7 linked regions of the Ovis aries genome follow. The protein of the gene in region 6 interacts with the protein of the main gene of each other region in a pairwise test. Links are inferred from orthologs where the notes say so. Each region holds a gene or a part of one and is shown on either strand. Other genes may lie near its edges.

Region 1 (3,944 bases), on a different chromosome or scaffold from region 6:
CTCTCATAAACTGCAAAACATCTATGTCCTATGCAGCCTTCTTCAGAATTACAATTTTAAAGCAGGATATAATTTTTGCACTTACATACAGAAGTAGCAGCAGCAATCAATCTTGTATTTGAGACTACTCCAAATTCCTAGACAAAGAAAAGTAAATGAGACTAAATAAGTACACAGTAACCCAATGAACCTAAGTATATCTGAAGTCTATTAAAACAGAGTATTTCCTATGTTTCTCCGATGTCTGCAAAGGAATGATGTACTTAAACATCTAAATTCATGACCTTTCTTTAAAATTACTTTAAACACAAATGCTTAAATAATTTTATAATTTATTATTATTGGAAGGTACCAAAGTAAATAGCTCAGTTGGTAAATCATCTGCCTGCAATGCAGGAGACCTGGGTTCGATTCCTGGGTTGGGAAGATCCCTTGTAGAAGGAAATGGCAACCCACTCCAGGAATTCTTGCCTGGAGAATCCCACGGACAGAGGAGCCTGACAGGCTACAGTCCATAGGATCACAAGAGGCAGACAGGACTTAGCTACTAAACCACCACTACCACCAAAGTAGAAACCAAGCCCTAAAGTGACAGTGCCAGTTTTCTGGACTCAAATTCCTTTCCATGGTATGGCCTTAAGACTTTGGACACTAGTTCCTATTTATTCTCTGAACTTAATATACCCCTGCTGTAAAAATAACTAAAAGGTTTATGAGGTGATCTACCTTACATAGTCTTAATTAATTTGTAGCTAACCTTATAAAGTTAAAAGGCTGTATTCTTTTTTTTTTTTTCTGGCTGCACAGTACAGCCTGCGGGATCTTAGTTCCCTGACCAGGGATCCAACCCAGGCCCTCGGAAGTGACAGTATGGAGTCCAAACCACTGGACCACCAGCGATTTCCCCAAAGCTTCATTTTAAAACTGAAAAATCAAGAATTGGTTCCTTAGTCAAAAAAAGAAACTAACTATGAGAGCCTGTCCAAAAACCTTCAACCTACATCCTTATCTAATTGTGTTTGAACCCATGTATGCCTGTAGTATATGTTTCATATAAACTTCAAGCCGTAATAAATGAAACTGAAATTTAAATGCCTGAGACATTTCTTAAATGACATTTCAATACAGTTCTCACACAACTGGACAAAACATAGAAAGATTTGGTCAAAGTTAAAAGATTTTTTTTAATGCTATAACCAAATATGAAAGAATACATCATCTTCCAGGATAATTCTACCCAAAATTCTTCAGGCAAAAACTTTCACTTAGTAAATTATTATAAGAGTTCTATTCAGTAAATCATGTAACAAAAGATATCTAACAAAGAAGACAAATTAAAACTCTAGTTAATCTACACGAAGTTTATAAAGATTTCTGTCTTAGTTTCCCACACTGGTTGTCCTTCAGATACATTCCATTACATGGTAATATTTGGAAAAGCCACCCCATAACACAGGCCTTTTATAAACACCTTCTTTTCCATTAAAGAACTTAGAAACAGAGTTGGTTCTACCTCCTTAAATTACCACTTACAATTAAATTCCATTCAGTATTCAGAAATACAATTACTATTCTAAACACAGCATCTAAAAATAAAAATATAATATAAAGGATTCATATTACTAAAGATTACAATGGATTATTATAAAAACCAGTTAATTATATCTGCCTTGTTATCTGGATTTTAGCTGAACTCTCTCAAAAATACTGTAAAGGCTAAGTAAGGTGAACAGAGATTTGGTCTTAGCTGAAAGTTCTGATCTTTCTCTTTCCCTCACCCAAACCATTCTTCGTTAGAAAGCATATAATACCTATAACCACCCCAATGCCTGCTTTCCCCACAACCCACTAGGCAGCCAATCAGGAGGCAAGAAGGGAAAACAGCAGAACTCAGGACGCAGGCAGAGGAAAAGGAAGAACGTTCTCAGCTTACAGCAGACAAGCTATAGCATGTATGCAATGCGCCTTAGTGCCAAACAATAAATGTCTTAGAGGCAGAAGATATTTCTTTGATCCCGTACAAATTTCAGTATTTTATATAAGTCACCATCTGTTATTATTTTTACACAGGTAATGTGAAAACTGGAATAGATTAACCAATATACGTTGACTGTACTTTGATGAAGAACAGAAAAGTATTTCATACCTCTACTTTGGATGCCAAAAACACACATGTAGGAGCCATTAATACAGGATCTATACTTTTCAGAGAATACCTAAAATATGATTAAATGAAGGTAAATGTCATTCATACAGAAAACATACATGAAAACATTTCATATAGAAAATATTTATATGGGAAAAAATAACTCTGGCAAACACATAATTCACTTATATAAGGTCATCAACATTAGATAAGGATTTAAAATATACATAAAATATTTCCAAAATAACACATCCCTACCTTGCATAGAATCTCTTGAAATAGACCGTAGCAGTGGCAATAACTTGTTGTCTTAATTTAAGATGTTCACCTAATGCTTGGATAACTAAAAGAGAAATAAAGTTAAATGTATTTCTGATATAATTAACATTTAACAATAATTTACTTGTTAAATGATGACTATATTCATTTTAACAAAGAGAAAAACCTATACATGCTGTACAGCTCTACTTGGATCACAGTGGTCTACTACTAGGGCTGCAAATTTCTTTAAAAATATATAGCTACACATAAACAATAACAAACAGAAATTATCTCACAGTAAAAACTATTCTTGAATCAAGGAGATTGAATGATTATTTCCCTTCTACCTGCTAAGTGTTTTTAATGCTTTTGATATCATTAGACACTTATCAGCATTATAACAATTACTTAATAAAGCTGATAAAAAACCCAAAATGAACCCTCAAAACAACAGAGAGGTAGTTTTGCAATAAGAGTGGACAGAGAGTAATAAAGACTCTGTGACAAAGCCATCGTGTGGCAGAACAAGGACCTTCTAACACTAAATCCTAAAGCATACTTGTAAGACAGGAACAACCAATAAGGGATGCCAATCCAAATAATCATTTATCCTCAAAGTACTCTGCTTTAGCCAGTCTTAAATTAAGTTTAATGATGCATTATAAAAGCTTTGGGAAATTAATACTTTTGGACTGTCTTGAGGGTCTCTGACATGTAAGATTCACAAAAGACTTTACTTTTAAAATGATATATAAATTGTAAAAAAGAAGATACATGCAAATAAAAATGTAAAATAGGGACTAAAACAGTACATCACAAATTACTACAGAAAAACATTTAATTCAGAGGTAACCAACCACACCATTTCAACCAATTAAAAGGGAAGTTTACCATTTGTAAAAAATATCTGTAATTTCCAATACTCTTCTTCCGAGAGAAACTTTAAATCTTTTTGGCGTTCCTTCAACAGATCTTGTTTATCCAAAATCCATTGTAAACTAAAAAAGGCAAAGATTCAGACATTTCATAGAAAATTCACTAACAAAGTTATATAAAATATTCTAAGATTGAACAGGCTGCTAATATTGTGAGAAGTACAGAATACAAGTAACCTTTAAAAACAGTATTTTTCACATTTCTTGGAACACTGACACTGAGAATGATCTCACTAATAAATGTAAATATGCCCTAAAAAAAATCTGCTCTTTTATCCCCTCCTTCTCAGTCTACTGATCTGTCTCTCCCCACCCCCACCTCGTCACTATTCTTGCCTAGCATTTTAATAGGCAGTAATAGTTACACTTTCTTAGTGACAAAGAAACTATCCGATGGTGCCTAAGATTTGAAGTACATCTTTTTTCAGTTGTTCATGACTAACTAGAGTATCCCACTTCACAAATTCCATTCATGTTATTGCTTCAGAATTTATTTTACTAATATTTTCCTCCTCCTGCCTAGTCTATTTTTAAATAGACAGGCAATTGACATGATCCCACAAAATACTCTACAACATGCTTTTGTTACTCACTATGTCCTC
Region 2 (3,944 bases), on a different chromosome or scaffold from region 6:
TAGTCTTTAAGTTAGATTTGGACAGGTACTTATATTATCCACTCTCCTGTTCCTGAAGCCTTTGGGCTCAGACTGGAACTATATAACTGGCTGTCTTGGGTCTGGACTTCTCAGCCTCCATAGTTGCATGAGCCAGTTTCTTATGATAAATCTATACATATTATACTTCCTGTTAGCTCTATTTCTCTGGAGAACCCTAATTCAACCACTCGGTTTCTTTTTAGATATTCTTCCACCATCTCTCATATTTCTGGGCGTCATTACAGCCTTGCAATCCTGTTCCTTTCAGGTAGCCTGTGTCATTTTCATCAATAGCAAACTTTCCTCAAGTGGGTCATATAAGAGTTGGCCAAAAGCACCACCTTGTATGTTGGTCATAATGTAAGACAATAGCAAATAATCCCCAGAGTACCTTCCCAGAATGCATCACAGAGGTGAGAAGAAAATGGAAAGAATGCAGTTCAGTTGTAAACTTTGACCTGCAAACCACATACCCCTTCAAATGACTTTAATAAAATCTTGCGTTACTTGGAAATTGTTAAATATGCACATAATAAAATGCGATCAGTTTCCATTTTTTTCTATATGTGGAGGGTATGATCTTTCTGCATACTTAATGCTCCTTTTTTTTCTTTTTCTTAATGCTTCTTAATTGGGTGAAACATGTGATCTCTTAAATTACAAGCAAATGTCAGTAGCCACTTAGGACTGCTCCTAAGAGAAAACTGTTTTCATGCGGATGACCTTGCTTTAGTTTCTTCTTCCAAAAGAACTACTTCACATTTATAACCACTGTCAGTGTCTGCAGATGCTGTTCTTACTTACCTTCATGATGTTTGGAAGTTAAGACAACGTATTTGGCACCAGAAGCCTGTAAAATATCTGCCCACTGGTTCGCATCAAAAAATTTTGCTGTAAATAGTGGCCCAAAATCTTCATATGTGAAATCAGGAGGGTAATTATTTTTCATAAAGTCCACATAAGCTGGTATCTTTTCCTGTTGCCAGTACCACCTAAGGGGATGAAGGAAACAGCATATAAGTAGCATTCACATAAACACTTGAAATATAGGTATCCCTCAGGATTCGCAGAGAATGAGTCCCATGTTTCTCAGCAGATACCAAAATCTGTGAGCACTCAAGTCCCTTACATAAAATGGCATACTACAGCCTGCCCTCCATATCTGCAGTTTGGGCACCTGCAGATTCAAGCAAACATAGATGAAAATTTCTGTCTGAGGTTGGTTAAATCCAGAGATGCAAATCCCTTGAATATAGAGGGCCAATTATGTATTTATTGAAAAATATACACATAAAAGAAGACCAAACTTGTGCTATTCAGGGGTCAACCATAACTCCCTTTACTAAAATTCTCCCTTATTCAGATGTTACTAAGATTCCCTTCCTAATTTCCCCATTTAGTCTGACTTCACTTAAGGAAAGCTTACATGAACTTCCGTAGTCTTCCATCTATCCCTCTGTGAACTCTACTCAGCTTATCCACCAGAGCAGTCTAAACAAACAAGTCACCCATTTGCTCTTAATTCTTCACTTTTAGATTGCAACATGGAGTATACATAATTAGTCCTTTGTAACACAAATGATGAAGTCTTCAAAAGAAGACAAAGTGCATAAAATATAACATAAATGTATTATATTCACTAGCAGGGAACAAGTGGGGAGGAAATGACAGTAAAATTAAGAAAATGCTGTTATTTTAATAGACTGACTCAGTCTTCAAGGATTACTGGTTATGTGTATTTATTCTGAGCAGTGGGGCCTCAACTGCCTAAGCAGAGCTTCAGAAGGAAAACAACATTAAAAACACAACTTTAAAAAAGAAAACTATTCATTTATTTATTTTGCTGCCCCGGATGTTAGTCACAGCATGCAGGATCTTTAGTTGTGGCATGCGAACTCTTATTTGCAGCATATGGGATCTAGTTCCCTGACCAGCGATGGAACCTGGGACCCTACACCGGGAGTGCGGAGTCTTCACCATTGGACCACCAGGGAAATCCTCAAAGCATAATTTTTAGATAAACATTTTATATAAACATGGCAGTAAGCCCATGGTCATGAAATAGATGCAAGTCCCCCCTCTCACCCATCTTTTATTCTTCCTTTCACTACTCCTTTCATAAGAGTGTTTTTACTGGATGCTGCTGCTGCTGCTAAGTTGCTTCAGTTGTTTCCAACTCTGTGCAACCCCATAGACAGAAGCCCACCAGGCTCCCCTGTCGCTGGGATTCTCCAAGCAAGAACGCTGGAGTGGGTTGCCACCTCCTTCTCCAATGCGTGAAAGTGAAAAGTGAAAGGGAAGTCACTAAGTCGTGTCCAACTCCTAGCGACCCCGTGGACTGCAGCCCACCAGGCTCCTCCGTCCATGGGACTCTCCAGGCAAGAGTACTGGAGTGGGGTGCCATTGCCTTCTCCGTCTACTGGATGAACAAATTCATAATCAGCACTCCAAAGATGGCCAGGAGGTTCTTTCTGCTGGGAAGGCTTTGCTGAAGGACATACTGTGTCACAAGCACTCTTCTTTACCTGCCCGAGAGTCAGATACATACTTTCCCAGCTTCCATCACAGCTCCCACATGGACACCTGATCCATGCTGGCCAATGGAACTGGAGGGGAAGCCAGCTTGGGAGATTCTGGGAATGGTCTCCTCTCCGGTAGAAAGAGATACAATCTGCCTTTGGACAAGGCTGTGTGACGTGATGCCTGGCCACCATCATGTCACCATGACAGGACAAGTCAACAGGCTGAGGATGACAGAGAGCCCAGGACTTTGATTTCATCATTGAGCCAAGTACTTCTGAATTTCTTATTATGTATAGTAATAAGCTCCTATTATTATACCTTTTATTTGAGTTTTCTGTACCTTCAATTGAAAGGATCTTAATTGATCCATGATGCATTTTTATCTTTTAAATGGAACTGCAAAAGAGAAACTGGGAGAGTCAGAAAGTTAAAAGATAAGAGATTTCTATTTTTTTCCTAGCACATCTAATTTGAACCTGCATTCTCTATTATAGTCTAGAGTCACTTCTCAAATTGCATGAGAAGAGAAGATGAGAAGAAGCACTTACAGTAAACAGCCCACCATTTATATTTGTTTTTGAGCTGCCATTAAGGATAGTCAAATATACTCATCTCTGCTGCTGACTGCCCCAGGTCAAATCAAGTGAGATCAGAGATTTAGAGGAGATAAAAAGGGAAACTATAGATAATTAAGAATCTTATACAGGGTTATTGCACTTCCAGACCATCAAAAATATACTCTGTTTTATAAGAGAATTATCTTTATTGTTCCAGGTCAAAACAAACAACTTTGTGTTCATTTGTAGAAAACGAGAAGTTAACCATTACAAAGAATAAGATGACTCAAAACTAATTGTTTTGTGCAGAGCACTAGTTTCAACTAACAAACATCAAATCCTCTCCTAGCATCAAATGTATCTTTACCTAATCTTTCCAGTTGAACAAAGGTGCTAGTAGTTAACAAAATCTGCTTGCCAATGCAGGAGGCATAAGAGACATGGGTTCAATCCCTGGGTTGGGAAGATCCCCTAGAGGAGGGCATGGCAACCCCCTCCAGTATTCTTGCCTGGAGAATCCCATGAAAACAGAGGAGCCTGGTGGGCTACAGTCCATGGGGTCACAAAGAGTCAGACAAGACGGAGCAACTGAGCACACACAATATAAGATGAAGAAATCTGTTAATTTATGTACCTTGCTGTCAGGGGATGTTTAACAGTAGGATTCATGTGTTCTGTTTCCTGCCTCTCATGAGCCCTCTGTTCCTTATCAGTTCCTGATAACAGGAATGAGCGGAGCGGCATGCTGCTCCCAGGACTGAGGTCATGAGATGGAATGCATGCATAGGGTTTCCTTCATTAGCTTTTCCATATGGTAAAAGTGATTATTTATGACTCTCTTTC
Region 3 (3,944 bases), on a different chromosome or scaffold from region 6:
GCTTCGATTCATGGGGTTGCAAAGAGTCGGACACGACTGAGCGACTGAACTGAACTGAACTGATGACCTTCGCTTTACAGAAGAGGAAACAGAAACTCTAAGTAACTCACCAAAGGGCACCCCACTGGTAGGAGGAGGAGCCAGGATCCAAGCCCCACCTATCTGGCCCCAGGGTCCGACTCTAACCATTCCCAGCCTCCGATTTCACGGAGTTGGCTCTGGGGCCAGTGTCTGGGTCAAATTCCAACCCAGCTACTTCCTCGTGAACCACGTGACTCTCTAGTAACGAGCCAAGTGACTCCAGGCACATTTTACACACTCGGTTTTCCCATCTGTAACATGGAGCCAATCATAGCAGCCACATCAAAGATGGTGGTGAAAACTCACTGAGCGATGCGTGGAGAGAGCCCAGCACAGAACGTGCATGTGCTGAGAGGCACTGAATGGTAACTGTTATTCACCTTCAAGGCTCACATTCACAGCTCGTCACTTTCGGGGTGCCTCTCCCCTCCCCATTAAGCAGAAGAGTTCACCGCTCCCAGGTTCATTGTTGCCTTCTTTGCTCATCTCTCTATTCTAGCAATAACCTCATGGTACTTTTTTCTCTTTCAAAGCACTGAATTGAGGTATGACTGACACACACAAAGTTGTCGGTATTCAATCTACACAACTTGATGGCTTTGATAAGTATGCACCCACGAATCCATCACCACAATCTATGCCATAAACTATCCATCACTTTCAAAAGCTTCCTCCTGCCTTCTTTATTTACTTACTTTTGTGTGTCTGTTAAGAGCATAAGATCTACTCTCTTAGCAAATGTTTAGGTACTCCACATAGTACTGCTAATTTTACACACTCTGCTGGAGTGGATTTCTAGAACTTACTCATCTGGTATAAGTGAAACCAACACCTGCCTGGTTCAAGCTCCCTGGGTAACCATGTCCTACTCTGCAGATGCTTGGAAATCTGACTATGAGATTCCTGTTGTTGGGAAAATTACATAGTATTTGTTCTTTCGTGGCATCTTGTTGATTGCCCAAATACCTGCCTGTTGTCTAAAACCATGAGCCCTTGCCAGTGCATGGTTGCACCCTGATAACTGTGTGCTAAACGCGGTCATCTCTATATAGAGCTGGAAGTAAGATTTAGGAATTATCTAGACCAGCGCTATCCAAGAGAAAATAAAACGTGAACCAGATACAGACATACAAGGCCACAGTTCAGTTCAGTCACTCAGTCATGTCCGACTCTTTGTGACCCCGTGGCCTGCAGCATGCCAGGCTTCCCTGTCCATCATCAACTCCCGAAGCATGCTCAAACTCATGTCCGTCGAAGCCCACAAAGGTAACTTAAAATTTTCTTGTAGCCACAATTATGTAAAAGTACAAAGAAGCAGGTGAAATTTTTATATTTTATTTAAACCAATATATCCAAAATACAATCATTTCAACATGTAATCAATATAAAAACATTTTAGTGAGACATTCTAAATTCTCTCTTTTTTCATACTGGCTTCAAAATCCAGTGGGTATGTAACACATACAGTGCATCTCAATTCAGCTACATGCCTGTGGACACTGTATTGGACAGCGGGCTGCACAGGGCAGACAGGCCCTCTTATTCTACAGATGAAAAGATGGAGGATACAGAAGCCAGACACCCATTCTGTTTCACTATTTCAAGCTCTTGAAATTTACTTCTTTCTTCTTCCCCATCCACTCCCAGAAAAGATCAGAGATCTCAATCATTTCCAGCTGAGTGGATTAGTTTCATGAATTTAAGCCTTTTCCCTCTGTTAAGTGAATTTCAGACATCAGCTGCATGAGACAGAGGAGACACACTTGGCTAGTAACAAGAGGCTGGGAGACTCTGGGCTTTTTATCACCCTTTCTCTTCCCCACCCAAATCACACCCTCTGGTCTACACCCAGGCTACAGAGTGTGTGTGTGCTGAGTGCCCACTCTAGAGTGGGCCAAGGGCCATATTCAACCCAGAGATACATTCTGTTTGGGTTGAAAAGTAAGGAAGTTTCATATGAAAACCCAGACTGCCAGTTTCTCTTTAGAAAGGTCAGGTAATACAATCCCACATGGCTACAGCTGAGTAGCAGCTGCTCCCCTTCAATAAGACACTGGCTTCCCAACTGGCCCCAGTCCCCACCCTGCCCTAGTGCCAGGTCAAGAGTCGGCTGCCATTTGTCACTCACTAGGGTGATATTTATCTCCCTCCAGCCCTTGGCACTTAGCCACTGACACAATCCACCTGGGCCTTCAAGTCACTTGAATCTGCAGGCCCTGCTGTGCAACATGGTAACTAACACTTGCCTTTCGGGGTCTGAAATGATATATGCTGACAACGTTACCAACTGAGCCAATTCAATGAAACCTGTGATCAGTATAAACAAAAATCAATCAAAATGATTGCTTCTGCCTGAACTTGGCAGAAATCAGGTACAATGCCCTCCTCTGTCACACTGTCACCTCTCCATCATCCTGTCTCCTGGACTGTCACGCCACACTCCACACCCCCACCAGAAGCAACCCTGTCCTTCATGTCTCCCCCTGGGGGTGTTGTTGAGCATCTGGGAACGCCAGCTCTTTCCCTTTATCCTGGGGGCCCAGATAACAGGGTTGTACTTCATGGACCCCAAGGGGCAGCTGACTTGAGCCAGGACCCCTGACAGTCAGAGCAGAGAGGCTTACTTGAAATCCTCCGGGTCAGGCTGTATGTAGACTTAGATGTGTCTGAGGATGAGCATCTCCGATCTGGGGAGTTGGTCCGTGGGGTCAGTGGGACGTCACTGGCTGTGTGCACAGAGTCCCCGTCCTTGTCACTGCTCCGGCTGGCCAACCTGTAGGAGGGAAGAGGTCTCAGGGACTGTCAGAGAATCCCCAGGGACTGGCACCTCTGTCCCATGGGGGACAGACCAAGGATGAAATTGCTCTCAGGCCCAGTCTATGCAACTTGGAATAATGCAAATTTGAAATAAATTCTCAATAGCCCTTAATTCTTAATAATGTCTTGCTTTTTGCACAAAATGTGATGTGAAGTAAATAACTATTTCCCAATTAGAACAATCTGCCAAGAATTTGCATAATTTCAAAGCTGAGGCTGGGCTGGGGAAGGGATATGTAAACTTATTCAAGATATTGCCACATGGGCACCACCTGACTAAACCAAGATCAGTTCAGTTCAGTCGCTCAGTCATGTCTGACTCTTTGCAACCCCATGGACTGCAGCACACCAGGCCTCCCTGTCCATTACCAACTCCTGGAATTCACTCAAACTCATGTCCATTGAGTTGGTGATGCCATCAAGATGGGACCTCTCAGTCTTCAGTCTGGAAGGAACCACGTGGCTGTTTAAATGCATTAGAACTTCTGCAAGTAGTTTTCGGTAAGAATTATCTTGTTATTTCAATAGTCACTATGTCAATAACATCTTGAAAAAATATCCTGTAACGATGTCACTCAAAGGTTCTTGGGACTTTCCTGGTGGTCCAGCAGCTAAGACTCTGAGCTACAAAATGGCCCTGAGAATCAATGATTTAAGAACAACAGTTCAGTGCATAGAAACACCAGTCAATAGCAGCATCCACAACTTAATGTTCTCCTAATAAAGATTAGAAATGCTGGAAAAATAGAAAGTACACTCTTTGTGGGTTGGGGTACAAAGTAGTACTTAAGGGCTGGCTCAAGGCAAGTCTCTCTCTCTCCCTCCATCTCCCTGTCTGTAAAATGGGACTAATAATAGCACCTGCCTTACATGGTTACTTTGAAGGTCGAGCTAACATATATACAATGATTAGAACAGTGTTTGGTATGTTCTAGGTAGATGCTTAATACATTTTAGCTGATGTTAGCAATATCATAGCAGAGGCGGCTTTAAGATCCCCCAGTACTCACACAGCTAGTGAGGATGCTGGGAGTGGGGGTAAGGGG
Region 4 (3,944 bases), about 88 Mb from region 6:
ACATGGATTTCTTTTGCCTCTTTTTAGGGTTTCACAGAAATGGAATCACATAGTATGTAATTTGTTGTGCCTTCTTTCCCTCAACGTGTTTTTGAGAATCTGTTGACATTGTTGTATTACCAACGGTCTATTTATTTTTACTGCCAAGTTGTATTCCTTTGTATGAATGAAGGAGAGTTTGCTTTACCTACTCCCCTGCTGATAGATGTTTGGTTTGTTTCCAGGCTTGGGCTGTTTGGACAAAAGCTGCTATGAATATTCTTGTCCAAGTTCGGGCCTTTGTAAACAAAAGTTTTAGTTTCTCTGGTAATTCCTAGGAGTATAATTGCTGGGTTATTGTAGATATTTAACTTTACAGGAAATTGCCATATAGTTTTCCAAAATGGTTGAACCATTTTATGCTTCCATAAGCAATATCTGAGAGGTCAAATTGCTTCACAATCTTGCCAACACTTGGTACTGTCACTCTTTGTAGCCATCTCGTTGATGAGTGGTGGTAACTCACTGCGCCCTGTTTGTTTTTAACAGTCTCTTTCTGTTTATAGTATCTTTTTGGTTTTAATTTTATTTATTTATGGCTGTGCTGGGTCTTCTTGCTGCACAGGCTTTTCTCTAGTTGCAGTGGGGGTGGGGGGCTACTCTCTAGCTGCAGTGCACAGGTTTCTCATTGTGGCAGCTTATCTCGTTGTAGAACACAGGCTCTAGGGGCCCCAGGCTTCAGCAGTTGTGGCACGTGGGCTCAGTAGTTGTAGCCCCCAGGCTCTAGAGCACAGGCTCAGTGGTCGTGGCACACGGGCCTAGTTGCTCCACAGCAAAAGGGATCTTCCTGGCCTAGGGATCAAACCTGTGTCTCTTGCATTGGCAAGTGGATTCTCCACCACTGAGCCGCCAGGAAAGCCCCCTCACTGAGGTTTTAATGTGCAACTATATGATGACTTAATGAGCATCTTTTTCCATGCTTACCACTGTTTGCAAATCTTTTGTGAAGTGTCTATTTAAATCTTTCTCCTCTTTTAATTGGATTGTTTGACTTCTTTCTACTAAATTGTAAGAGTTCTTCTTGCATTCTCATTGTTTCATTTTTTTAGTGGTATTTTTTGAAAAGCAGATTTTAATTTTTCTAAAGTCCAACTTTCTAACCTTTTTACAGTTTGTGATATTTTTTAATCCTTTCTAAAAATCTGCCAACCCCAAGGTTGTAAAGATTTTCTCCTGTTTTCTCCCAGAAGTTTTATAGCTTTTGTTATTAATTATTCAGTCTATAATCACTTTGAGGGGCTTCCCTGGTGGCTCAGATGGTAAAGAATCTGCCTGCAATGTGGGAGACCCAGGTTTGATCCCTGGGTTGGGAAGATCACCTGGAAAAGGAAATGGCAACCCACTCCAGTATTCTTGCCTGGAGAATCCCCATGGACAGAGGAGCCTGGTGGCCTAGAGCCTGTGGGGTCACAAATAGTTGGACACAGCTGAGCGGCTAACACATACACATAGTCACTTTGAGTTAATACCTGTATATAGTATGAGATAAAAGTCAAAAATCATCATTTGCCAAACAAATATCTAGTTATTCTGAGATCATTTGTTGAAAAGAGTATTTTTTTCCAAGTTAATTTCCATGTTAGTTTTGTCAAAAATCAATTGTCTATATATTTGTATGTCTTTTTTTCTGGACTCTTTTGTTTTGTTGATTTATATATCTTTCTTTGACCAATATTACTCTTACTTTATTATTGTATCTTTAAAGTAAGTCTTGAAATAAGCAATATAAGTTCTACAATCATTTTTTTTTTAACTATTCTGACTGTTCTGGGTCCTTTGCATTGCCATATAAAATTTAGAATCAGCTTATACATTTCTACAAAAAAATTGCTATTATTTTAATTGAATTGCATTAAATCTATGAATGAACAGCTTAACAATATTGACATTGAAATATGGTATATGCATCCATTTATTTAGGTCTTTAGTTTTTCTCAGCAAGGTTTTATGATTTTCAGTGTACAGTCTTGAACAGCTATGTTCAGTTCATTCTATTATAAGTGGCACTATTTTATTACTTTCATTTCCAAGTATTTCTTTCTTTTTTTTTTCTTTTTTTTCCCAAGTATTTCTTGCTAATATATAAAAATATAAATTTCCCCTTGCTAAATTTACTGTGAGTTCCAGCAACATTTTTTTGTCTATTCTTTAGTATTTTCTACATAGACAATCCTGTCATCTGAGAATAGAGTTCTCCTTCTCAATCAGTACACTTTTTGTTTCTTTTTATTTTATTCAACTGTCTAGAACTTTTAGTACAGTCATGAGTTAAGGGGATGAGAGTTGACACTCTTGCATTTTTCCATATTTCAGGAGGAATGTGTTTAATCTTTCACTATTAAGTGCAATATTAGCTGCAGATTTCTCAAAGATGCCCTTTTTCAAGGTTGAAAGTTTCTATTGATAGTTTCCTGAGAGGCTTCATGATAAATGGGTGTTGAAATTTCTCACATTTCTTTTTTAGTCATGTGCATTTATTGATAAAGGTTTTTAAATTACATTCCTTTATTTTTAAATGTTAACTCAACCATTACATTCCTAGAATTAACACCATTTTTGTTATAATCTGTTCCCCTTTACATATTGCTGGGTTTGATTTGCTACCATTTTATTTAGGAGAGACACTGCTCCCTCATTTTCTTGTCGTGTGTTTGTCTGGTAATGGTGTCAGGATAATTCTGGCCTCCTAAAACGAGTTGAGTGGTATATCCGGCTCCTCTAAGACAGACGTGTAGGGCTAGTGTTACTTCCTTAGGTCAAGCTCGTTAACTGTTTTTGAGGTCTTCTGAAGGCTTCCTGGTTTTCTGTTTCGTCGTCCTGTCAACCCCTGGGAGGAAAGTGTTGACATCTCCAGATGTAACTGTGGAGGCCGGCCTCCTTCCCCGCCCGGTGCTGCTGGTGGCGTTGTCGGGAGTTCCGTGTTTCCTGAAGGAGAGGCTCCTGGAGGGAGCCGTGCTGAAGAGGCGCGGGGTGCTGGCGGGCTCCTCGGCCGCGTCTAACCTCTCGCCCCTCTGTCTGTGTCCCCCAGGGGTCATCGCCGTGGTGATCTTCACCATCCTCTGCACCTTGGTCTTCCTCATTCGCTACATGTTCCGTCACAAGGGCACCTACCACACCAACGAGGCGAAGGGCGCGGAGTCGGCCGAGAGCGCCGACGCCGCCATCATGAACAACGACCCCAACTTCACAGAGACCATCGACGAGAGCAAAAAGGAATGGCTCATCTGAGCGGCGGCTCTTTGGCTCCGGGAAGTGGGGGGCGAGGGAGGGGGGAGCGTGGGCAGGGAGGAGGGCGCGGGACGGAAGCACCCGACTTCAGACCCCTGAGCACACCCTTCAGATATCAGCACAAGCCGGGGGAGGCAAGCGACGGCAAACTCCTGGAGACTGATGGCCACAAAAAAAAAAAAAAAAAAACTTTTTGATATTTCTTTATAGCTGAGTTTCCCCTTCTGTATCAAAACAAAAATAATACAAAAACTGCTTTTAGAGTTGAAGCGATGGTCAACATTTGTAGGTACTATCTGTCGAATATTTTGTGTGTGTTTAGAGAGGTGTTCTGAAAACCCACAGGAACAGGGCCCGTTTTCTACGATTTTCAGCGCCCTTAGAACGTGGATATTTTTCCTGGAGAAAAGTTGATGCACATGTACACGGCCTCCCGCGTTTTCCTCTTTTTACATAGAGTCAGCCTCTAATGGGCTGTGGTAGTAACTAGTTCGTGTTCATAAGATATTTCTCTGGTGTCCTGTGAATTGGAAAAGGAAAGGAAAGGACAGAGGGAAGCTGTGATTTAGCAGTTTTCAGAGAGACCTCAGTGTGTGCCGGTTCTCTGAGAGTTCCCACTGGAGGCAGAGGGGTGCGGTCCCTCCTGTGCAAGGACCATCAGTACAACCCAGAGAAGC
Region 5 (3,201 bases), on a different chromosome or scaffold from region 6:
TTTGTGGGTACAGTGAATGAGAGATGGGACAGAGAGCGTTAATGAGCAGAGCTGTGTCTGAGATGCCTTCACAGGGAAGGGACTTCATTTTTCCTTCATTCTCAAAAATCTTGAGTGCAGCCCAACCTCCTCCACCCGGCTTGCCTCTCCTTGGACCAAACACGTTGGACTGGGTTGTTTTTCCACCTCTGTTTAAGAAATCAAGTCTTACGTGCTATCCTGCCCTACTTCCAGCTGTGTTTCAGATGACTCAGTAAAGCAGTACACATCCCGGGATCACCTCGCAAAGCACTTTCAGGCCCCCGTCTTCAAGTTTGTGGGCAAAGACCACAAGGTGAGCTGAACACCTATACCTTACAAAGCTGCCTGCCCTCTCCCTTCATGAACCTGAGCCTTCCTACTGTCCCCATTTGTTCACATTCTAAAGCCTACCATTGGGACCTGTATGACCTTTATGAAAAATACTATAACACTGGGCGTCTAGAATCTTAACACCTCCATGAATGTCAGAATCATCTGCCCCCTCCCAATAAATTAACGAGGCTTGTTCAAAGAAAATATGATGTGATTATAATCCAAAATCCTTGTGAGCAGGTGTGATTGAAAAAGCCTGTGTAGTGGTCACGTGGCAAACTATATGGAGAGAATATTTGCAAAAAAGACAAATAATGAAATGTTCAGTGAAAACAGCATTTCACTGTTTTACATGCCAATTCAAATAATTATAAGACTATTATATACATATGAAACTTTTAAAAATTATAAATCCCAACTTTCAAGGCTCTAGGGAGATGTGTATAGTAGCAATATAAGTTGATATATTTTCTGGAAAGTTGTGTAACAACCTGACAATTAATTAATAATCTGACAATGTGTAATAACCATAAAATTATCAGTCAAAAATTTCAATTCTGACAGCTTCTCAGAAACAAAAATAAAAACATGGTTTGTTGAATGTGCTTATAGAGTACTGTTATGAGAGAGGCATTAAACCAGTGCATCAATTGATTCAATATTAAGCAGTTAATGTACAAAGAAATATAGAAAAAGGAGATATGAAAAAATTCTTGTCACAAAAAATTTAAATGCAAATTGAATATGAAACAGTTTTTTAATGTATATAAGTAAATAGAGGTTATAAGAGGCCATATATTGATATACTGTGTTAAGGTGGAAGGTTTTTTATTTTAGCAGAATTGCTGAAACACTTAAGCAAAGGAAAGTTTGAGGCCAACAGTTTTTTCCATAATGCATCTAAGTGTATTCATGTGCTATCCAGCTTCATCATTGTTTCGAAATAACTGCTAACCATGATGGCTAACCCTGATCTTCCTCTTCAACTGGGCAGCATGCATTGGGAAGTTACTTATAGGAAGAAGCTTGTAGAAAGAACTTGTTACTTTACACAGAAGTGGGTGGGACCCCATGTTATGCCCAGACCTTGATGTGATGAATCAAAATGTTAGTGTTATTAGACGTTGTCCTCACAAAGTTGTCTTTGCACGTGTCCAGGCACGGAGGCATAAGTTGTGGATGTCAGGTTTTAAATCACCCATGTGACTGAGTATGTTTGCCTCATTACTAAATGTGTGGATTTGGACAAGTTCCTTAACCTTCGTAGTTTCCTTATCTGTAAAATGGGGATCACATCTGTCTCAAAGGGTGGTTGTTTAGATGAAATGAGATAAAACATATGAAACATTTGGTAGTGTCTGGCTTCCCCCACCTGGCAGCTGTCTTCACTGTTTTTATTCTTTATCATTGTAATCTTTCCAGGAAGTGTTCCTGCACTGCCGGGTCCTGGTCTGCGGGATGCTCGACGAGCGCTCTCGCTGTGCTCAGGGCTGCCACCGGCGAGTGCGTCGTGAGGCAGTAGAAGGAGAGGATGCCACTGGTCCACAGAGCCAGATGCTGACAGGCGGGCCGATCAGCATCGACTGGGAGGACTAGGACAGCCCATCACCCAAGTCCTCCTGCAGGCAGCCTGTCTCTCTGGAATTCTCCCCTCGCCTTCTGAGAGCATCAGTCCACACTCTAGAGCACCATGCTGCTTTGAACCTGACACTTCGGGGTTAGACAAACCCCCAGAACCGACTCACTCTGACTCCAGCCCACTGGGTCAGGAAAAGTCACCTCACTGCTGACCAGCCTGTTCCAGATGGAACTTCATCCTCCTAATGTGGAAAGCTGTGCCATGCACCCCCAAAACAGCTCACTCCCATGCTCCCTCATTTCTTTCCTGCAATAAAACACCTAGAGTAGGCTACAGTAGCACCACCACTAAAATCAGAAGTTGGGTATATCATTTCAAATTAGGAATTTAAAAAATGAAATAGTGGCTTGAACTTATGACGTAAATACCCACTGACTCCTTAAATATGTAAACAATAATTATACCCCAAAATTTCCATTCAAATACAGAATAGTTATAGGGGATTTGGAAGTTTATCACTGTAAGTATGTACTAAAAATAAACTATTTGGATTTTCTCCTGCATAATATTTTCCTCTGGGGTTTTTATGTTGTCTTAAGTAAACTATTTTCAATTAATAAATGTTAATAAATTCATTAACATGGATTTAAGTGGTTCAGTGACTCAACAGTAGACAAAATTAAAATATGGTAACATATGCCCTGTTATTTTGCATCCTGCGCCCTCAGACTGACAATAGAAAAAGCTATAAAGCTACACCATACTCTATTTTGTAGATGCTTAATACATTTTATCGAAGTAACTATCCTAAACCACAGAGATAAATGTTATCCGCAGTTAAATCCTCTTGCTAAATATGCCAGTTCATTTTATGGCTTTACAGAAGATCAGAAAACAGTTTTTCTACTTTTCTTTTTAGAAAAAGCTGCAACCAACAACTTGTATTGGAACCAGTAACATTAACAAAAGGAAGAAAAAGGAGAAAACAATCTAAATCAGGGGTTGGCAAACTTTTTCTGTAAAGGGCTGAAGGGTAACTAGTTTAGGCTTCCCTGGTCGCACAGGCCCTGCTGCAACTACTCAGCTCGGCTATCCTAGCACAGGAACAGCGGGAACTTTACCCAAACAGGCGCTAAGCCTGATATGGCCCAGGCCTTTGTTTGTCGGTCCCTAACTTCAGTGGTCCTCAGGCCTCACAGTGCATCAGAATCATTGGGGAGTGTTTCTAAAATACCAAGATGTAGGCACCAGCCCCTGGAGAAGGCAAT
Region 6 (4,728 bases):
TCCCACCCCATCTCACCTCTGAGCATTGGAAAACAATTCGAACTTTCACACGGATATAAAGGTTTATTGCAAAGCCACTATTCTCCAGGATACTTGAAAGAAAAAGGAGATGGTCAGGCTGAAGCCTGAGGGACAGGACTAGGGAAAAAGTTCTACCCTGGTGACATTTCTCAAAGATTAATCAATACATTTTCCTAATTCAAACCAGATGCCTGGCCCAGTTTGCTGTCCCCAATAATCCCATTAACAACTTCCAAGACCTGACCCCCTGTCCTCTGGACACCTGAGACAATGAAAGTAAGACGGCGACGCTCCTGGTGGCAAATTTGGGGTCCCGGGAGGGATAGGTGAGCGCCGATATTCTCCTGATGCGACAAGTCCTAGGCAAGGCTCAACTGTTCCCGCAGCTCATTATGCTCGGCCAGCGTGCGTGCCTTGTGTAAACGACTTGGCCCCTAGCAGACAGTGTCGCCCTTTAAGCATGTGGTAGTATGAAAGCCCAGCCGTCGCTCGCATTAATTCACTGGTGGCAAGTTTTCTAAGTCATTTTCTAGGATGCAAAATTGTAACCAGGGAGATCCGAACTTTAAGCGATACCAAAGTGTAATATTTGTTTGGTAAATGGAACCATGGCGGCGTGGGAGTGAAAGGGGTGCAATGAGCTGATTGATTTTTTTGAGCGGAAGAGAGATGGATTTCTGGAGGGAAACGAGGTGACAGGGGGCTGGCTCCTGAGGGAGAGTACTGGAAATGTACATTCAATATACACATCGCTTGTGACTAGGGTGAAATCGCTTTAGAATACTCCTGATCCAGGAAAAGTTTTTCTGGGCGGACAAGTGGCAAGGAAATGGAAGTGGGACCCGGAAATCGAGAGCGGTGTGGGGGAGGACATTTGAGGAAAGCAGGGGAAGAGACCCCACCTGGGACCGCAGGTGAGGATGCCAGAAGCAGAGCGTCTGCGACCGTCACGGCCCCATGCTTTCTTCCACCCTATCAAGTCTCGTTCCTTGCGGCCCTTTCTCGCCCGTGGGGAACTTTTCCTGCATCCTCGAATCTGGCGTCTCAGCGCTCTAACAACCCACCCACAGACACCAGCTGTATAAAAAAGCTAGAAACGCCACTGAGCCCATGACACGAGTTGATGCGAATTTGGAAAACCTTAATCTGAGTGCGCGCCAAACTAGCTCTGATTCTTTTCCTTATCCTCCACCTTTCGTGCTTCTCCACATTTAGGCACACCCTGTTTTTCTGCAGGTGACAGTGCCCAAGTGGCATTGACAAGACACCTTTCAGGAGAGAAGTGAGCAGGTGGGACACTGGCTGTGGGGTTGGAGCTGGCGGGCGCCACGGCGCGCCCCGGCCGGCGGAGCGGGAAGGGCAGCCGCTGCCCGCCGGGGCTCTGGTTTAGGCGCCCGGCTTGCCGCTTGCAGTCCAGGCTGTTGGCAGCGGCGGGAGGGCGTGGACGCGCTGCATGCGTCCAGCCGGCGATAGGAAGTGGAACTGGGAGCGCATTGCGCGAACTGAGCGGGAGTTTTGGAGGGAGTTTGCATGTGGTCAGCACTGGGCTCCTAAGCCAGCCCCCAGCTCACATTACACTCTATTTATAACCTCTCAGAGCCGTTTCCCCCTGAAAGCAGTTCTCTGGGACCACCTTCTTTTGGCTTCAACCTCTCCTGCTCTTGACATCTGAGTAGCTCAGAGGGAAGCTTCTCGAGGTCCGAGTGTTTATATGTAAAGGAGACTGGCCGCTAGGGCTCAGGACCAGGATTATCCGAGCTCTGACGAAACGCGGGCGGCTATTGCTTTGGGAGGGGGAAAAGTCACACGGTTTCCAGTGAAAAGTGACAGAGGGTGGTGGCGTTTGGAACCGTCGTGAAGTCTTCTGCCTGGAACCCGAGACTTGCATGCTATGGAACACCCGCTCTTTGGCTGCCTGCGCAGCCCTCACGCCACCGCGCAAGGCTTGCACCCGTTCTCCCAATCCTCTCTCGCCCTCCATGGAAGATCTGACCACATGTCCTACCCCGAGCTCTCCACTTCTTCCTCGTCTTGCATAATCGCGGGATACCCCAACGAGGAGGGCATGTTTGCCAGCCAGCATCACAGGGGGCACCACCACCACCACCACCATCACCACCACCACCACCAGCAGCAGCAGCACCAAGCTCTGCAAACCAACTGGCACCTCCCGCAGATGTCCTCCCCGCCGAGCGCGGCTCGGCACAGCCTCTGCCTCCAGCCGGACTCGGGAGGGCCCCCGGAGCTGGGGAGCAGCCCGCCGGTCCTGTGTTCCAACTCTTCCAGCTTGGGCTCCAGCACCCCGACCGGGGCCGCGTGCCCGCCAGGGGACTACGGCCGCCAGGCGCTGTCACCCGCGGAGGCGGAGAAGAGAAGTGGCAGCAAGAGGAAAAGCGATAGCTCAGGTAAGGGCGCGCCGGGCACCCTCGGCGAAAGGGGGCGGGGAGATGGGAAGATTCTCCTACTAGAGTGAGGCGGCGGGCGTTATGGGACAGGTCTTTTCCTCTCTGGCTCCTCGCCGCCAAATTCGGCGAGGCTGCTTTGGTCCTTTTATTTGGGGGCACGTGTTTCTCCGAGGGCAGCACTGCAGCCAAGTGCGTTAAGCTCTCCAAGATTCAAACTAGTTTACCAGAGGGTTGAGAAAAAAAGGACAAGTGACAAGTATGTGAAATCGATTGCGAAGCGTGACCTTCCATCTGAGCGATGGGGAGAGGAATGCACCCTGGGATGCAGCGTCCGCTGGGCGTGCGTGCGGGTGCCTTTCCTTGACTTTTCCCGACTCTGAATGGCTCGATTTTTCCCATCGTTAACTGGATTTCCAAATTATTGCACAACATTTGGAACTTGCAGTGGAACTTGGCAGAGCACATGAGAAAAAGTTTTAGTTTAGTTTTTTTTTTTTTAATTCTGATTTCAGAGTTCTTTAAATAGCACCCTATTCCAAATGGTAAAATTTCTCTTTCTTGGGGGAAGAAGATATTGTCTAGGAATTCAGAGGATTTTAAGGAATGTGTCAGAGAATGGCAACTAAATATACGCTCAGACCCTTGACGAAAGACGATTCTTTATTGTAGTTGTATTCATGTAATGCTAACCAAAAAGAAAATCTGAGTTTCAAAAGTGGAAAGTAAAATCCTCCTCCAGTTGAGTACTATCCGAAACAAGGATTGGGAAACTTAACAGCAACCAGGGTAGCGCTGCTACAAGTGGGTGTGCGTAGGAGGCGCTGATCTACGCGAGGATATCTTGAACCGCGTAGCGAAAGGGGAATCTTAACCAAACGCGAATGCTTGAAGGCACCCGCAGCCAACTAAACTTTAGCAATCCAGAGAAACTAAAGCTTTGCAGTCAACTGTCAAAGCCCTTACCTGTCTCTGTCCTAAAGAAATTGTTAAAAGATGCTTTATAAGGAGGGTATGAGCTTTCTTCAGTAGCTACGACGCAACCTGCGTCCCATCTTTTTGCAAGCTGTTGTTTATTTAATATAATATTTACGTATTTTCTTTCTTTGCGGCATTGGTTTTAAGAGCCCTGGAAGATAATTCCAGGTACTGATTTGAAAGACTGGATAATGTCTATCCTTTATAATAATTTAGATTAGATTTCACATGAATGACAGTGATTGAGCCGCATATTTCATGTTCTTTTTCAGCAGTGGTATCAATTATTCTTCAGTGAGTACGGAATGGGTTCTTCTATCTCAAACTTAGAATCTCACGTTTACATTCCAACGTCAGGGTGAACTTCTAATGCTCCATCACAAAATAGTTGATATCCAAAAAGGTTGCCAGCAGTATCATTCATTTTTAATGGTTTTTACTAACCCTAAGTGAGACACTCTTCAGACAGAGTGAAAAAGTTAATATAGCAAGAAGGCTTCCATCTTCATTAGAAAACAAGTCATTTTTAGAATGCAGTCATCCTTTTATAGGATCAGCATTTGATATCAATGTAACTTTTCTGGGATTAGATCTGAGTACAGGTTAGCCAGGGACGCTTTTGCAATTTACCAGAGGCTCTTACTATTCCTTGTACTTTCTGCAGTGAGAAACCTATATCATGGATTGTTTCATATGCTTCTTCAACTGAACAAACGCACCTAAGTTTCTTAGGACAAGCTGAATTTTCATATAGGCCTATGTTACTTTGATCAAGGAGAAATCAAGAAAGTGAGATCCAAGAACTGACTCCCTTCAGTTATTTTAATAGTGACTTTCTTAAGAAAATTGGTTATATTAATACTGCTACCGTCCTTTGGTGGGAAATAACCATATAACAAAATAAGTTTATCTTTTCATGTTGAAGTTAGTCATTAAAGTCCTGGAAAAACAAAAGTTTTCATCAGATACATAAAATATTAATAGATTACATCTTGAATGGGAAATACAGTTAATCATCACCAAGGGTAGAATCATTGGGAAGTTAGAATGAATTTTTTCTTTGATGGGATATTTTGAAACAACTCTTCACTGTCTAAAAGGAAATATATTTTTAATTTCTTGTTGAATATATGTACAATCTTTGAAAATAAAGTTCAAATTGCCAGATTTACTATTTTAGATAATATTTGTTGTATTCTTTAAGTGAATTTAAATTCAAGGTACCATTTTTTATTGGAATGATGTTGTATTTGGTCTTTTATAATTTATGCTCACAGCTATTTCATTTCATATTATTATAAGGGTATCTTGATCTAGCAGAAATTAA
Region 7 (4,566 bases), on a different chromosome or scaffold from region 6:
GGGTGGAGGAACCTCATTTCTGCTTGTTGCAGAGCTGATGGGAGGAAATCTGGGGCAGTTGGTGTTTCCCTTTACTACCTCAAGAGAACAGGCTGCCTGAGACTGAAGACTCGTCCTGGGAGAAGCTGAATTATGGAGGGGGATTCTGAAGCACAGCACTTTCTGTCCCTCTTGAATGAGGCTTCTGTCCTTGTGATAAAATAATCTCTATTCTCTGTCACCCCACAAGTCCCCTCCAGACAGTGTCAAACATCCTGCTGAGAAGAATCTGTCTTTAATGGCTTCTACTATGAAAAAGAAGAACTAATGTTCCTGAGTGGGCTTCCCAGGTGGCGCAAGTGGTAAAGAACTTGCCTGCCGGTGCTGGAGACATAAGAGACGCAGGTTTAATCCCTGGGTTGGGAAGATCCCTTGGAGGAGGACACAGCAACCCACTTCTAATATTCTTGCCTGGAAAATCCCCATGTACAGAAGAGCCTGGCGGGCTTACAGTCCATAGGGTTGTAAAGAGATGGACATGCCTGAAGAGACTCAGCACGTACTCAGCGCAATGTTCCTAAGTACTTGCCATGTCACAGGCCCTGTGCTAAGCCCTTTACCTGCATTATCTCATCTCATCTTTCCCACAACCCAGGGTTTGAATTGTCTCTCTCATGTCCTAGCTGTGTGATCATAAATAAGTGTCTCAACCTATCTGAAATTCAGTTTCTTCACCTGTAAAATAGAAATAATTGCAATAGTCACCTCATAGAAATACAACAAGGGACATCCCTTCTATTTTTTCCCATGCCTGCCCCAGGGCCCTGGGCATACCTTCAGCTCAGGCATGCTGCCAATGAGCTCATAGGGCACCTTCACATCAGGGCAGCTAGTATAGTCGAGAGGGACAAGCTGAGGGGCCAGGTCCTGGTAGCGATAGAAGAGCCTGGTATGGGGAGGGAAACAATGAGAAGGTCTGGGAGATGAGTGAGGGTGGGCTTGTCTCTACTCTCTCCCTTTCACAGATGCTCACTCTACAATGAAGGATGCTGAGCCTTCAGCCCTGGGCCCAGCCCTCACACACAGGGACACCTTTATCTCCCTAGGGACAAAGCCAAGGTAAAGACAGGACCCCAGGGACTTCCCTGGAGGTCCAGTGATTAAGAATCCACCTGCCAGTGTGGGAGACACAGGTTTGGTCCCTGGTCTGGGAAGATCCCACATGCCATGAGGCAACTACTGAGCTCATACACCACAGCCACTGAAGCCCACGCACCTGTGAACCCATGCTCCCAAGAGAAGCCACCGCAGTGAGAAGCGCACATATCACAACTAGAGAGTAGCCCCTGCTCACCAAAACTGGATGAACCTCCACAGCAACCAAGACCCAGAGCAGCCAGAAAATCAATTCATTGCTTTTAAAATGTTAAAACAAACAAACAAACAAACAAAGCTAGGGGAAACTGGAGTGGGGAAAGTAAGCCAAGGAGAAGGAAGGACTTCCTGGAGGAGGGGGCATGGGTGCTAGGTGCTGGGCTTTGAAGCACAAATAAGAGCTCACCAGGCAGATGGGGTTGACAGAAAAGAGAGTGCTTAAGGCAAGGTCATCTCACACTGAGCATTCAGAGACTCTGAGTGAATCTACGATTTGCTGGACATCATCACACTGTTGGCAAGACCCTCATCCTCACACTTTCCCTCTCTGCCTCCATAATGGGGGTTGTAGTTCCCTCAAGGCGCCAGAGACAAAGTCTAATATTCAGGTTTCTCCAAGGGGTAAATGAAAGGCATTTTGCAAAACAGCAAAGGCCATACACACTGCCTAGATGGTGGGGTCAAGTGTCTACTCCAATGCCCTTGCCTGGTGATACTGTACCGTCACTGGAACATGCTGAGCAGTCACCTTGTACAGACTATCCTTGATGAGCCAGAGATCCTGAAGTTGTTAGGGATGCCTCAGAAGGTGATAGAAGCCATATGATGGCTAGGAACTGGAAGAGGGGGGTATCTGGAACTTCACCGCTGGGTCCCTTCAGAGAATAGTCTGGGTTTGGGTTTCTATGTGGCCTCGAGTAAGTCCCCCTTCCCCTTTTCCCCCTTTCTGCTCAGTAGGTCTGTGTGAGAAGCAAGAAGCTTGAGATGCACAAAATGTTAGCCTCAAACTCTTTGGGGCCCTACCCATCTACCCAGGGCTCTGAGGTCAGCCTCCCCTGTGTGAGCCTCAGTTTCCCCATCAGTAATCTGATCATGATGGTCAGGGTGACCCTGTGAACTGTCCTCGCCAAGACGGTGGGGCTTACTAGTGGAAATTCTGCCCATCAATAATGGATGTCCTGCACCCACACAATTGGGACCTTGGCCCTGATCACTCTGCAGTCAAACCCCAGCCAACTTGGGTTTCACAGGTCAAAGTTCATGGGTCCGGAATCTGGATAATGGTTCCATGGGCTGAGTGATGCTGTAGGATAACCCCTCCATGCCTGTCTCACTCACACCAGGAACCTGCAGCAGCCTGGGGCCACCTCTTCACCCTCTAACCTTGATGTCAACCCCATTGCCCAGAGCTGGCTCTAGACTCTGCCCCCTGGGGTCCCAGCCTGTTCTCACTGGGCCTCAGGGGGAAGTTTTGATCCACATCGCCCCTGCTCACACACTCTCTATGGCTCCCTGCCACCTTTCGGAGAAAGCCCAAGCCTGTCAGCCTAGAGATGTGGCAATAGGACCAGATGGGACTTCTCAGCAGCCTTCCCATCTCTGCATGCATCCACCAACTGAGCACACGATTCCCCCATTAACTGCAAAGCATATAAAGTGCCCAGCTCTTCTTCCCTTCCTCCTCAGACTGACCTCATGATTTCCTTTCTCGTGAAGAAGGTGCAGTCCTGTGGAGAGAGATGTTGGCTTAACCCAGACCCTGCCTGATGCCTGGCGGGGGGGGGGGGGGGGGGGCGCCTCCTTCCTCTCCCACAACCCATTGCTGCCTGAATCCACACACAGAGCCACCCCAAGACCTCTTGCTGACTGCACCCCCACCCCACCAGGATGAAGGGATGCTGTCCCCATTTCTTCAGCCAAGAAAACAACCAGGCTGCCAAACCCACCGATGGCTTGGTCCATCATCCCTACCTGATAAGCTTCCAGTTGCTCGTGAGTGAAGACTGTTTGCTTGTTGCCCATAGTGGAGACCTCTGCCTGGACTCTTGAACAGGCTCCCGAAGCCCCCCGCCCCGATCCCCTCAGGGCCACCCTGGTTGCCAGGCCGCCGTTCACCAGTGTCTGGGCAAATCTCCCTGCCCTGGCTGTCACCTGCCCACCCTCCTCATCACCCCCAGCCTGGGTGAGACTCAAGTTACAGCCAAGCTCTCTGGGCAACGGCCTGAGTATATGTCCACAGCCATCAGGGCAAGGAGAAGGGCTTAGGGAGGTCCCAGGGCAGCCCTCAGTGGGGAGCCCACACTTGCCATCACCAGTGAGACTGGGGGTGTGGGGCATCTTTGAGAAACAGGCAGGGTGGGGGAGAGGCTGCCAGCACACTTCAGGCCAAATTCCAGCTCTTTACCCACTAACTGTGTGGTCTTAGGCGGGTCACCTGGCCTCTCTGAGCCTTGTTTGTAAGATGGAAATTATATTAGTACCTACCGCATAGAGTAGTAAAGAATCTGCCTGCCAAAGCAGGAGACTTGGTTTCAATCCCTGGGTCGGAAAGATCCCCTGGAGATGGAAGTGGCAACCCAATCCAGTATTCTTGTCTGGGAAATCCCATGAACAGAGGAGTCTGGTGGGCTACAACCCATGGGGTCGCAAAGATTCGGACAAGATTTAGTGACAAAACAACAATAACATAGAGTTGCTCTGAAGATCTAATGAGATCATTCGCTCAACTTCCCCAACCAACAAAAAAATATTTGTAACCATTGAATTTAAGCCAGTTCTAGACCCATGATAGTGAACAAGCTAGACGAGGTGTGCATTGGAGATGATGATGAGCATGTTATGGCTTGAGAAAAGCAATCTAATGTCTAAGTTTGGGTTAAATTAACACCATAGTTCTTTATTGCCGGACTTGTCAGACCCTTTAATATGTTAATGTGCACCATGTATTCTCAAGGGGTAAATTCAGTAATTTCCCCTACATATTGAATGAATTTCATTCCAAGAGCACGTTCTTAAGTCCAATTCATTCATTAAGTCCAACAAAGTTCGTCGAAGCACTCAACTAATACAATTGGCTTTTTGTACTATTCATACAGTAATAATACTTTTCACACAAATTGCACATAAAAAGCAAACACACAAGATACAACATTTCAAGTCCTACAGCACAGTACCTTGAAAAGTACAGTAGTACAGTACAATAGCTGGCATACAGGGGCTGGCATCAAATGAACAGTCAGGAAGAGTAGCCGACTGGAGGAGGGAGAGGAGGTGAGATGTGGTGAAGCTGGAGGACTATCAGCAATAGGAGATGGAGGGCAAGCTGCAATCTCACTCCCGTCTGACATCGATGGCACCGATTCTGATTCCTTGCTGGAGCCAGATGCGTGTCCACATCTTTGAGTTTGTAACTTGAAGGTTCATATGTATAGA

What was found.
Region 1: the proteins of MEOX2 (region 6) and CCNC interact in binary tests that used the Homo sapiens proteins (3 or more experiments, as listed by UniProt). The two-hybrid records come from large-scale screens. The link is inferred for Ovis aries from reciprocal best matches to the Homo sapiens genes MEOX2 and CCNC.
Region 2: the proteins of MEOX2 (region 6) and FUCA2 interact in binary tests that used the Homo sapiens proteins (3 or more experiments, as listed by UniProt). The two-hybrid records come from large-scale screens. The link is inferred for Ovis aries from reciprocal best matches to the Homo sapiens genes MEOX2 and FUCA2.
Region 3: the proteins of MEOX2 (region 6) and SYT17 interact in binary tests that used the Homo sapiens proteins (3 or more experiments, as listed by UniProt). The two-hybrid records come from large-scale screens. The link is inferred for Ovis aries from reciprocal best matches to the Homo sapiens genes MEOX2 and SYT17.
Region 4: the proteins of MEOX2 (region 6) and CNTNAP2 interact in binary tests that used the Homo sapiens proteins (3 or more experiments, as listed by UniProt). The link is inferred for Ovis aries from reciprocal best matches to the Homo sapiens genes MEOX2 and CNTNAP2.
Region 5: the proteins of MEOX2 (region 6) and OIT3 interact in binary tests that used the Homo sapiens proteins (3 or more experiments, as listed by UniProt). The two-hybrid records come from large-scale screens. The link is inferred for Ovis aries from reciprocal best matches to the Homo sapiens genes MEOX2 and OIT3.
Region 7: the proteins of MEOX2 (region 6) and CIB3 interact in binary tests that used the Homo sapiens proteins (3 or more experiments, as listed by UniProt). The two-hybrid records come from large-scale screens. The link is inferred for Ovis aries from reciprocal best matches to the Homo sapiens genes MEOX2 and CIB3.

What each region holds. Positions count from the first base shown.
Region 1 is NC_056061.1:37,539,046-37,542,989, reverse strand, and holds part of CCNC (cyclin-C), read right to left. Parts: intron 3,406-3,944; coding exon 3,299-3,405; intron 2,490-3,298; coding exon 2,405-2,489; intron 2,217-2,404; coding exon 2,147-2,216; intron 138-2,146; coding exon 86-137; intron 1-85. UniProt on the Homo sapiens protein: Component of the Mediator complex, a coactivator involved in regulated gene transcription of nearly all RNA polymerase II-dependent genes.
Region 2 is NC_056061.1:68,140,813-68,144,756, forward strand, and holds part of FUCA2 (plasma alpha-L-fucosidase), read right to left. Parts: intron 1,014-3,944; coding exon 826-1,013; intron 1-825. UniProt on the Homo sapiens protein: Alpha-L-fucosidase is responsible for hydrolyzing the alpha-1,6-linked fucose joined to the reducing-end N-acetylglucosamine of the carbohydrate moieties of glycoproteins.
Region 3 is NC_056077.1:17,267,279-17,271,222, forward strand, and holds part of SYT17 (synaptotagmin-17), read right to left. Parts: intron 2,855-3,944; coding exon 2,706-2,854; intron 1-2,705. UniProt on the Homo sapiens protein: Plays a role in dendrite formation by melanocytes.
Region 4 is NC_056057.1:112,873,307-112,877,250, forward strand, and holds part of CNTNAP2 (contactin-associated protein-like 2), read left to right. Parts: intron 1-3,067; coding exon 3,068-3,267; 3' UTR 3,268-3,944. UniProt on the Homo sapiens protein: Required for gap junction formation. Required, with CNTNAP1, for radial and longitudinal organization of myelinated axons.
Region 5 is NC_056078.1:28,185,165-28,188,365, forward strand, and holds the end of OIT3 (oncoprotein-induced transcript 3 protein), read left to right. Parts: intron 1-234; coding exon 235-334; intron 335-1,776; coding exon 1,777-1,950; 3' UTR 1,951-2,578; downstream 2,579-3,201.
Region 6 is NC_056057.1:25,058,716-25,063,443, reverse strand, and holds the start of MEOX2 (homeobox protein MOX-2), read left to right. Parts: upstream 1-1,632; 5' UTR 1,633-1,912; coding exon 1,913-2,426; intron 2,427-4,728. UniProt on the Homo sapiens protein: Mesodermal transcription factor that plays a key role in somitogenesis and somitogenesis and limb muscle differentiation. Required during limb development for normal appendicular muscle formation and for the normal regulation of myogenic genes.
Region 7 is NC_056058.1:6,625,256-6,629,821, reverse strand, and holds the start of CIB3 (calcium and integrin-binding family member 3), read right to left. Parts: upstream 3,157-4,566; coding exon 3,106-3,156; intron 2,862-3,105; coding exon 2,827-2,861; intron 926-2,826; coding exon 814-925; intron 1-813. UniProt on the Homo sapiens protein: Acts a an auxiliary subunit of the sensory mechanoelectrical transduction (MET) channel in hair cells. Plays a role in regulating hair cell MET channel localization and function.